3 linked regions of the Drosophila melanogaster genome follow. The protein of the gene in region 1 interacts with the protein of each later gene in a pairwise test. Each region holds a gene or a part of one and is shown on either strand. Other genes may lie near its edges.

What was found. The genes of interacting proteins can lie anywhere in the genome.
Region 2: the proteins of CG42263 (region 1) and CG30472 interact in a two-hybrid assay, tested with the Drosophila melanogaster proteins (one large-scale study listed by BioGRID).
Region 3: the proteins of CG42263 (region 1) and CG13784 interact in a two-hybrid assay, tested with the Drosophila melanogaster proteins (one large-scale study listed by BioGRID).

Annotation. Positions count from the first base shown.
Region 1 is NT_037436.4:19,953,995-19,957,563, forward strand, and holds CG42263 (uncharacterized protein), read right to left. Parts: upstream 1,806-3,569; 5' UTR 1,759-1,805; coding exon 1,614-1,758; intron 1,554-1,613; coding exon 1,459-1,553; intron 1,410-1,458; coding exon 1,253-1,409; intron 1,198-1,252; coding exon 1,106-1,197; 3' UTR 553-1,105; downstream 1-552. Other genes in the region: CG42654 (uncharacterized protein), read right to left, coding at 1-100, 152-237, 298-333, 396-516.
Region 2 is NT_033778.4:15,422,654-15,425,682, forward strand, and holds CG30472 (uncharacterized protein), read right to left. Parts: upstream 1,487-3,029; 5' UTR 1,403-1,486; coding exon 1,031-1,402; intron 972-1,030; coding exon 848-971; intron 791-847; coding exon 648-790; 3' UTR 532-647; downstream 1-531. Other genes in the region: Stacl (Stac-like), read left to right, coding at 64-243, 317-442, 1,606-1,752.
Region 3 is NT_033779.5:7,217,003-7,221,930, reverse strand, and holds the start of CG13784 (uncharacterized protein), read left to right. Parts: upstream 1-1,897; 5' UTR 1,898-2,071; exon of another isoform or gene 2,072-2,800; 5' UTR 2,801-2,819; coding exon 2,820-3,022; intron 3,023-3,077; coding exon of another isoform or gene 3,078-3,078; exon of another isoform or gene 3,079-3,280; intron 3,281-4,928. Other genes in the region: mEFG1 (mitochondrial translation elongation factor G 1), read left to right, coding at 1-790, 844-1,189, 1,254-1,398.

The DNA of each region.
Region 1 (3,569 bases):
AATTCGAACCCATAAGTGCTGAAGCTAAACTGAAAATAAGAAAGAAGACTGCCTGAAATGCTTGAAAGAATAGAGTTGTCCAAAACAGCCAACCATATTGCTAAATACATATATTTTGTAAAAACCATCTTTAATTATATTATATACATACCGATAAGACTGCAAATATTAGCATGAACGATGCCAAGATAGTTAACAAATCGGGAGACATTTGTATCACAGTGTAGAGAGCTTGTTCTGGGTAATAAAACTAGATTATCAAATGGAATCATTGGAACTGCTTAGTCACTAAATTACCTGGGAATTTGTGCTGCATTTCTCTGAAATAGGTTCCTATCAAAACATTAAATTTAATGCAAAAAATAATACTAATGCCAATGTGAATATATATTTACTATTTAAACAAAGGAGCATATAGTCAATGTTCATGCCAGCCAAAAAAATTCCAGCCAATGCAATCAGTATACATCCCATTTGCAAGGATATACAGAAGCAAAATTTTTTAGCCAGAATCATAATTTCAGACGTTTTGACAGGAAATGCAAATAAGATATTCTGCAAAATATTTTTATTTTTAGAATTTCTTTTAAGCCTGAATGTTAAAAAATTATACGTATATTTTAAATTATCAAAACAATTCTTTGTTAATTTCAATGTACAAGATTTGTTTATGAACCACAAGTCGTATACGTAATTTATGTACATTGCAAAACTTTTAAGCAAATACTCATGTTTAGCTCGCCCAGATGATGGCGCCAAATTTAAACGAAATTGCCTTCACATTTTCCGCCATATCTTCTTTATTGTGGTATTAACTTTTTTGCATAATTACAACTTAAGCAATCTGTATTATGGCCTCATTAGCATTAGCCTAGAATTTCCAGCCCGATGTGTGTCGTGTTTGTCAGGCACGCGTGGAATCGTTTTCAGTTCTCATCAAGATGCTAATGAAATTATAAAGAAAATTGAGTCTGCCATATTAGCACAGTAAAAGCATCATCCTCTCACTTGATGAGCATGGGGTAAAGAGCACGAAATGCTATTGCTTTTCATCATCTTAAAAATCAATTTCGCTGATCTCAATTTAATTTTTAAGGACATCCTCTCATTTATCCACACAAACTGGTCTGAATTCATCTGGATGCGCTTTTACATAATAATACGTGTAGACTTTGAGCAAACAAAATAAATCGATTCCTGAAAAGCTGGAGCATAACTTACGAGAATAGAGATTTTTAATATATATGTTTACCCAACGTCACTAAATTCACGAAAACATAAATAATCGCAGAGACAGCACTTTTAAAGAACGGATTGCGAACATTTATCAAAGCATTGAAGATGATGTAGTACGATATCATATGAATGATGAACATGGCCATCCACACGAAAACGATCCTTAAGTACTTCTAAAAGGAATTTTATTAGAATTAAAAATATTGGAAGTGATTTTCTTACCGTCATAACAGATATCAGCAGGATAACTGCAGCTGCGATCATCAGAGCTATATGAAATACATTGAACCATTTCGCATAAACATCAGTCTTGAGTGCTGGTATTTGGGTTTAGATGCTGTTCTTAAAATTCAGGTTTCCTTACTTTTCCAACTCACTGTTCTTGTATATAACCTCATCCACAGTAGTGCCTGCGTTAAGGAATCCGAAAAACAGTGTGTAGAATGAAACTATGATGCATCCAGAAGTCAGCGAGATGCAAAAGCAAAATTCTTGTCTGACCAGCTTTCTTAAAAATGGCATCAAAAATAGGAAAAATACGTTGCTATAAATTTTAGAAAATACAGTTCCATGTTTGACAAATAATGCCAACCGCTTTCAACTTTTAAACTCCATAAACTTCAACTTTCTTTCCATCAGCTGGCGAAACTGAATTGCTGCATCTCCTCTGGTTTTAGGTCACTGCAGTCTTCTGTCATTTTCAACAAAGTTTCGAACGACCTCGACCTCCCACGGAAACTTTAGCCTTTCGGAAAAGTTAGACAAAGTCCCTTGGTCTCTATTTTTTTCTTCATTATTATCCCCTGAGCAAAGTGAAACTGCTGCCTTTTCCTTGCCTAATGCGTTAATTGAAAGCAGCAGCCGTCTAAAAATTATGTTTTCAATAGACTGGAAAATAGGGGGTGATTTCCGAGGCTTGGGGTTTGGGATTATTAAAGATAGCTCGCATCATGGACTTACTTGAAGTGTTAAAGAGGATTTGTGTTGGCAAAAGTTCACTAATTTAAATTTAGTTCAAACAGTGACAAAATATGTTGCAAAGGGAATGCATTGGGCTTAAATTCCATAAATTAAAAAAGATGTTATTACCAAACAAGAATTGATTGGGTGGCTCAAGGGCAATATTTCATGGAAATGTGAAGACGAAGCCTAATAAGACAATATTAGATGGTGGTTTACTAATGAGCCTAATCAGATTAGTGTATTGTTTCCCAGACTTGATTATCTTGGTGCACCATATGGTTGATTTATTTTTGATTGATTGCAGCATCAATTTATTTGTCATCAATACCAACATGTTGGTGTTGATGCCCCATTAAATGTCAGGGAGAAAGAAAAAAAAAAAACAGAAAGTAGAGTAAGTTCAAAAAAAGGACATGTCACATATCATAAGCACCGCTCGAAGCTCCCAGCCAATACACAGATCGATGGAATCTCTTTCATCCACTTCCAGCAGCCACTGGCAGCTCATCTATCATCATTGCCACGAGTCCTTTCTATCCCGGAATGCTTCCACAGTATCCTGTATACTCTCTGCCCCGCTTGACACCCTTGCACCCCATCCCTGCCGTATTTATAGCATCTTAATTGAATTTCAATTTTCAATTTCGCTTTTAATTGAATTCAATGAAAAAGTGTCGATGAGACGGTATTCAGCATTGGTCCCATCCCCATCCCCATCCCCATCCCCATCCAACCATCCGTCCATACCCCCAGAACCCCATCCCAGCCCACTCCCATTCCCTGCACTTGTTGTTGATGCTGTTTATTCAGCTGCCAGTTGAGCACCGCCTGGCTGCCTCTTGATGGCGCCATTCACGCCACAAAGCGTACCGTCCCCACTGAGCTCCCTGCACTTAGAAAAAAAAAATCATTACCATCCTGGTCATTAAATATCAAACGGAATTAGCCATATTATTGCGAAGTCCGTATAAAAATAAAAGAAAATAAATAAAGGCATACAGATGTAATTTTATATTTTGGTATAATTTTAAATAAAAATGCAATCATTCGATTTTTCTGTGTACCTTCGAAATAGGTTTCAAACACCCAAAAACGAATTGTTTTTTGAAATTGCTGTTCCAATTATTTGATCCACAGCAAAATTCACCTGGTTCGTTAATTTAAAAGTAGAAGAATATTCGTTGATAGTGTATTTACTATTTAACAGGTTGAATGGAATATATTCTTGATTAGGATCACTAGCCGAGTCGATCTGGCTTTGTCCGTTTATCTGTCCGTTCGTATAAGCGAAAAATCTTTCATTGCCGCAATTTAAAAATGTACAATATAAATAAATGTATTGTATTTTATTATTGTATTATTGAACTAAT
Region 2 (3,029 bases), on another chromosome or scaffold:
GCAGTTTAAGGGAAACCAAAACATCTGTGTCAATAATGTGTCCAAATCATAATTTTTCCGCAGGCCAATGACCAAGCTAAGCGGTACAACAGTCTGAGCAACCAGTGCGCAGCTGTCTCACCTCAACAGGATCTAGTGAACTTCGTCCGGCTCCTGGCCCAACCATCGCAGGCCCAGAAGATTCCCAGACGGCTCTTTGCATCGCCGCAAGCAGAGGTCGGCGAGGAGGCGGGCGACCACAACGTGAGTAGTAGTGCATATAACACCTGTCCGGCGGACTAAAGTGATTGTTTTTGTGGGCACCTGTCCGCCGCAGGAGATGACGCCCTGCCTGCGGAACGAGTTGGTCTTCGACCGGCACTCCACACTGTCACAACGCTCCGCGTTGGAGTCGCTGAAGCGGGAGGCCATCGAATTGGAATTGCAAATACGTCAGCTGCAGGTGAGATGAATAATCCACAATAATACACAAAATGATAAAAGCTCACAGTACGATATCGCAGCCATGTCGGTACTTAAAAAAAATGGTTTGTTATGTTTCCAAAGATTTTATTTGAATGGGTGGCCAATATCACAATTGTTTTTTTTTTCTGTTATCCTTTAACTTTCACAAAAAACTATGTAAAGTCATACAATTAAAAAACCGCTTATATCTGTTCGGTATTCTCGATAGAACTGCACTCTTTGCCATCTGAAGTGTGCATTTCGGTGTATGAGTTACACTCATCTTGCTTGTCTTGGAATTTACAAATTAAAGATGCGACTATCAATGTGAAATAGCCCTCCAGAGCTGTTAGAGGTTATATTGTTTATTTTTTTTGCAATGACTTCACGTTTTGGCACTTACTCAATGATGGAACTATTAGAAAAGTTTGTGCAAAATTTGGGTTCCTTAAGTTATTATTTATATTCGATATGAGAGTGGTGAATACCGTTATATAAATCCAAAGAAAGAGGCAAACCTGGTGGCCCTTGACGAAAAAGTATGGGTATTAGCCTTTATATTCGAATACCATCTGTTGACTCTCACCCATTTGCTTCCAATTAGCAACAGCAGAGAATTGAGAACAGTAACCAATCCGAGTCCCATGCAAAAACGATTACTTGTATGATAAAGCAACATTCTTTTGATTATTCCTTCCCTATCGATTTTTGTGATCCAAAAGGGATCAGGTATCATATAACTTGGCACTGATTGATTGGATAAACGATATATACTGAATATCTGTATTACGCTCACCAAAGCCTCAAAGCCCGCTATAATCCTGCATCCTTTTTCCAAATCGAAAAAGTAGAAGAAGCTCTTCAATCTTGGGAGGGCCTTACAATTGAGCCTTATGTTGTTCCAATGCTGATTTTCCGAAATGCGGCGATTTCCTTGGCAATTCTCATTAGAAGACATTTTCAGGAAATTGCTTTTAATGATAGTTAAATATATGTTATTTGGGGTATTGCCTATGAAAGCTTTTAACTAGCCTTCTTTTACAAGTAGATCTATAATATTACAAATACATTTTATTCTTAAAAATTGTAAACTTTTACAAGATCTATTACAAAAATATTTATTTAAATAATCAATTTGACTGGTTACTTTTCCTCTCGTAGGACTCCATCGAGGCTCTAAATCGAACGCAGACCCGTGGAATCGAGGGTCAGCTGTACAACAAGGTCAATGAGCTTCAAGAAGATTTGTCCATGAAGAAGTTCGACCTGCGAGCCAAGCAGATCCATTTGGCGGCCATAAGGGCTCAGGTGAGTTTCGATTTAGTCGGGGTGAAAAGCTATAAAGTTTAGCGGGAAAATATACCACGATAAAGCTGGAAAAGCAGCAAAAGAAACCACTTCGAAGTTAAGTTTATGCCATGGAAAAGCTTTCACTTAGCTTTCCACAGACCTGTTGCTGACAGCTTTTTGGGTGAACTTTTCATGGCCGAGATCTAATGAGTTCCATTAGGCGGGGTCGGGACGCCCGACACGCCCCCCGTTTGCACGCTTGAAAGTACAGATGAACTGGCGCTCGTATGTAGGTCAAACAGCTGATTGGCGACTGCGCATGTGACCCAAGCGTTTCGCCATCTCCCTCGCTTTTTGGAGCACTGAAAGCCGCCAGCAGGAGCCAACTGTGGGTCAGGTTCGTCCTTCGCCTTTCGCTTAGTCCTGCGGTAGATTAGCTTGTGCGTGGTCAGTGCGGCTGTTTGGCTTGATTTTGTCCTGCATTTGCTAGGTCCCTGTTTTTTTTTTGCGGTCCTCACAAGAGAGTTACTCAGTCAAAATTACACCGTGTGCTGTGCGATTTTCTGTGTTTTCTGGTGTGACAAACTATTACTGCGTGGGAGTTTGGGAAAAACCATCAGGCTTTTGACTGTAACCTCAACCTCTGGGCCTGCAAGTGAATCAGCTGTTGCCGAACAGGGCTCGGAAAAGTCACTTCAGAGAGAGCAAGAGAGAGACAGAGAGTGAGAGAGAGAGAGAGAGAGAGAGCGCGCGCGGAAAATTGCATGCGAAGCGTTGCCAGACATTCGAGCCATCTCCCGATGTAGCTGTTTATAAAAGCAGCGTGCAACGGTCGCTCCGAGTCAGTCACGTGCTTGCACTTCGACGTATACGTAACGCGGCTCGCCAGCTCCGCTCTTGGGTGATCCGTTCGACAAATTAGCCGTAGCCGTAGTGCCGTAGCCGTAGCCGTAGCCGTACTTCCGCAGCCGTATCCGTATCCGTAAACGCGCCGTCGTCGTCGTTTTTCGTCGCGACTGAGGTGCGATTGGCTGCCAATCGCGCAATTGGAGGGGCTAGCTAAGAAACCAATGCAAACGAAACACAAACCTTAAATCCAAATAAAATTGAAATATATTAATATATATATATCCCGAAAACAGACACCATTCATATATATATATATATCCTCCTAATATATATGCATAATTTTAGAGCGCAGTTCAGGGCAGGCTTTTCTAGGCGAGTTGTTCTCTATTTTGATAGCCACACACAAGATAAATTGAATTGAGTGCAGCGCGTAAGTAACCAAACGA
Region 3 (4,928 bases), on another chromosome or scaffold:
GAGAACCTGGGCTTCATCGAGAAGGAAGGACAAGACCCAGAAAAAGTAGTCTTAAATCCCGCCCGCGATGGCAAGGATCCCTTTGTTGGCTTGGCGTTCAAGCTGGAAGCTGGTCGCTTTGGCCAACTAACCTACCTCAGATGCTACCAAGGTGTCCTACGGAAGGGTGACAACATCTTCAATGCCCGCACCAACAAGAAAGTGAGAATTGCTCGCTTGGTTCGATTGCACTCAAATCAAATGGAGGATGTAAACGAGGTGTATGCCGGCGATATATTTGCGCTTTTCGGAGTTGATTGCGCCTCCGGAGACACTTTCACCACCAATCCCAAGAACAATCTGTCTATGGAATCCATCTTTGTACCCGAGCCCGTGGTCTCAATGGCCATTAAGCCAAATAATACCAAGGATAGGGATAATTTCTCGAAGGCTATTGCGAGATTCACCAAAGAGGATCCCACATTCCACTTCTTTTTCGACAACGATGTAAAGGAAACTCTTGTCTCGGGAATGGGTGAACTGCATTTGGAGATCTATGCCCAGAGAATGGAGAGGGAATACGGTTGCCCAGTGACGCTGGGAAAGCCAAAAGTAGCATTTAGGGAAACCCTGGTGGGACCGTGTGAGTTTGATTACCTGCACAAGAAACAATCGGGAGGATCGGGTCAATATGCCAGGATTATTGGAGTCATGGAACCACTACCGCCGAACCAAAACACCCTGCTGGAATTCGTGGACGAAACAGTGGGCACCAATGTACCAAAACAATTTGTTCCTGGAGTCGAAAAGGGTAACTAAAATTACATTCCTCAATGTTCTGATTTTAATATTTTATTTGCTTAGGTTACAGAGAAATGGCTGAGAAGGGAATGCTCTCCGGTCACAAGTTGTCCGGCATTCGATTCCGCCTGCAAGATGGTGGTCACCACATCGTGGACTCCAGCGAGCTCGCCTTCATGTTGGCTGCCCATGGTGCCATCAAAGAGGTCTTCCAGAACGGCAGCTGGCAAATCCTAGAGCCCATTATGCTGGTCGAGGTCACTGCACCCGAGGAATTCCAGGGTGCTGTAATGGGTCACTTGAGCAAACGGCATGGTATCATCACCGGAACTGAGGGAACCGAGGGTTGGTTCACTGTCTACGCGGAGGTACCGCTGAACGACATGTTTGGCTATGCGGGAGAGCTGAGGTAATCTTCAGTACACATTGGAAACGTTGAATTGTATCTAAATATATCTCATCTTTATTTACAGATCGAGTACCCAGGGAAAGGGTGAATTCACCATGGAGTACTCCAGGTACTCGCCTTGTCTCCCAGATGTCCAGGATCAGATCGTCCGGCAATACCAGGAGTCGCAAGGATTGGCCCAACCCGACAAGAAGAAAAAGAAGAACTAGGTTTTAACTTAATCTATTTTTAATTACCATCTCTATCAAATCGAAATGTTATTGTGTCACCCCTATTTTTGCTTAGTTAAATTTTATTTCATACAACAATTTTCAGTTTTCACTGTGATAAATGCGAAGTGTACAGTTATTTGTATAATAAAACAAGATTCAACAAAAATCGGTATACTTAATTAATCACAGCTTGTTGATATCAGTTGAATTTTTCGTCTTATTTTTCTTTGAAAATGAAATATATATATAAATTAATACAAATAACTCATTTATATTTGAAACGCTTTTGTTGGAGGCGCACATACTATTTTGTACCTATATAACACTAGGTACGGAAATAGGTACCGATTGGTACTCCGCGGTACTTAGTCATCTTACCGTTAAACAGGTCGAAAACGAGTATAACAAAAATATCGAATAATAATGTCAGATGCGTTAGGGAATGTGAGTTTCAGGATTTCGCTGACTGGTAACACTAGCCACAAAACTTGTGTACGTTTGTTTGTGTTGTTGTTTTCGCTTGCGTGCGGTTGATCCGCGGACAGTTTTTCCGCAAACTCGCAGAGGAAATGCAAACTGTGGCGAGGTGAAAGGAAAACTGACCACCGAAAGTGCGAAGAAGAACGAAAATTGAAACAACAGCAAGCGACAGCAATTAGCGAATGAATAAGTACGATTTTCCGGAACAATAATAATAGCAACAACAGCAACAACAACAACGGCTGCAGCCACAACAAAAATTTAACTCAATTAACGGAAAAGGCAAACGGGGGAAAATGCAATTGAAATGCCGAGAGCATTTATGAAGTGTGCTGATGTGTTTGCGTAGAAATGGAGCGATTTGTGATTGCAGCGCTTTGCTCGTCTAGTGTTTTCCGCTGCCAGAAAAGTGTGCGCAGGAAAATCGGTGACGATTCGTGAAAAAAGGGGCATAGAAAATTCGGTGAAAATTCAATACAAAAAAAACGCGGAAAACGAAAACACAGGAAAAATTAAAAGAGCGACAAAGAGTGAGAGCGTGCGAGAGCAATAGGGAAATAGAAAATAAATATCTTCGCTGCCTGCGTGTGGGTGTGCGTCAGTGTGTGTGTGTGTGTGTGCAAAAGTAGAAGATCAAAGCGAAACGACGAAAAACAAGCACAGCAACAACAACACACAGCTGACTTCCTTTCTTTCCTTCCTGCATTACACTGTTCAACAAACAATAGTTATAACCGCAAACGATGCGAAATCCAGTAACTACAACAACGACTACTTCCAATCGCCGGCTTTTAAACTAGTCAAAAAATCAAATCAATAACATAAACTACACATATCCGCTAAACGACAAAACCTAAAACGAAAAATAAATTTCAAAACACAAAGTAAACGAATAAACTAAATATAACCAAATTTCCAGTAAACAGAGATAGCTCACAATGGATTGGATCATCAATGATGAGATGGGCCTGACGGTCGGTCACGTGGTGGGCTGGGCCGCCGCCTCCGCAATGGTTATTGGGGGCGTGATCCCCTACGTGCCCCAATACATTGAGATCAAGAAGACGCAGGACGCGGAGGGATTCTCTCTGTACGTGTGCCTGGCGCTGCTGGTGGCCAACTCGCTGAGAATACTCTTCTGGTAAGACTTAACTTGTACGCTAATCAAAAATAACTAAATTTGTAATCGAAAATAGATACTGGAATACTAGATACATAATAGATACCTAGGAAACTAAAACATTACTAGCATCCGTACGAAACTAATTAAATTCATTACCTAATGCTCCATAATGTTAACAAAAGTGCTTAAATGTGAAAGCTCAAAATTTTGCAAGTAATTATGACGATTTCATATCCAAATATGCCATTTTTGAGCAATAAATCAATCATGAAAGGCAAAACGAACTTTTATTGCACGCGCTTATTTTTCTTTTTGACTGTACAGCACTCGAAAATAACACAAATCACTTTTGAACGCTGCGTATTCAAATGAAAATAAACACCTGCAAATTCTCTCTCGTTTTTTTTCTTTTGATTTGGGTTGAGAATACAATTGAAATACATCATAATTCTTTAAAAAAAAAATCTCTAGAAAATTACTGATATGGCACTTCCTTGTCTTTAAAATCTACCTAAAAACTTACTTTAGAAACATGCTATTATATCTACATATATATACAGAAAGATCTCTTTCGCAGTAGTTTCGAATCCTCTGGCACCCCTGCGGTGAAAACGTCAGGTACCTGAACCTCTCTAAGTAAACCCCTGTCCACTTTTATCTCACCCACATTGGGATGACTAAACCCACTCGGCAAATACCTGGTATGGTATTACGGCTTATCTGGGTGGGCAATTCAAACCGCTTATCACGCGAAATTCTCTCATGGTCCGACGCGACAATTTACGGTTTGGAGCACTTGAGACCAAAACCCCTTCCTATCTGTTAGCTATGTCATGATTTCTGGTCGATTTTGCTCACCATAGTCGATAGACGACTTCCACAATTTGGACGAAGGACCAGCGTACTGGTTTTATCTTTATTGTACTCCCAGCGGTATTTAGGTATTCGGCACAATGCACAATGTCGTCGATAATCGCTATTTTCGCTGGGGTTTAGGACACTTGATGGAAGATTTATCAGCTTTCATGCTGAACTAATGTTTTGTGGGATGTTTGATAAGATTGTTACACTCAACTCAATACAAGCGCAACTATAGTTTATAAGAAGTCAAAAAAAACTATTTCGTAATATACGAAATTCAGTCGTTTTTGGGAATATTTAGGTGACTTAAAAATGTTGACAGTCTGAACTTTCGTTTCTGGAATGGTTTCATCCAGCTGCCCTGGATTGTTGATTCATCTTTTTGCAGAGCGAAACATATAAATCAAAATTAATAAAGTAAATTTTTAATTCAATTTGAATGAGTGTGCAAAGTAGCTTTCAAAATGTGACAATGCCATTGAAACCAGTTGAAACTGACACAGAGCCAACAAACAAAAAGATATAATTGAATTTGCGCTATTGTTTATTCAGAACGTATTTTCATATTTAGTTCAAAATATATATTTGCCATATGGAATAAACGGAATAAACGGATTTTTAGGCCAGCTACTTCTCGACTGGCCTTTAACAACAGGGTCAACTACTTTTGTCCAGCTGGTTTCTGTGTATTTTTCAGGTTGTTTAGCCCGTTTAAAGCTGCTGCTATTGTGGTTTTTCGAGACCCATCGCTTCCTACTAATAATTTATTAACAAGCCAAGTGAAACGTGAACGCAAAAACAAAAAAAGAATAGGAGCAACTGGTGGCCCTCATCGACGCCGTCAATTTGTCTGGCCTGGGTGGCAATCAATAAATAAATTATTTAGCTGGAAACTGTTGCCGGCGAGCAAAGTTGAATCAGCTGGGCAACGAGGCTTTGAGCCGAATAATCCCAATACAATATGTATACGTTATATATAGATGTTTACGATTCCTTGTGGCCAGACATTTTTTTTCCAGACACGCGATCAGTTTCAGTTGGGTTTTATGAATAAAGTCAGTCA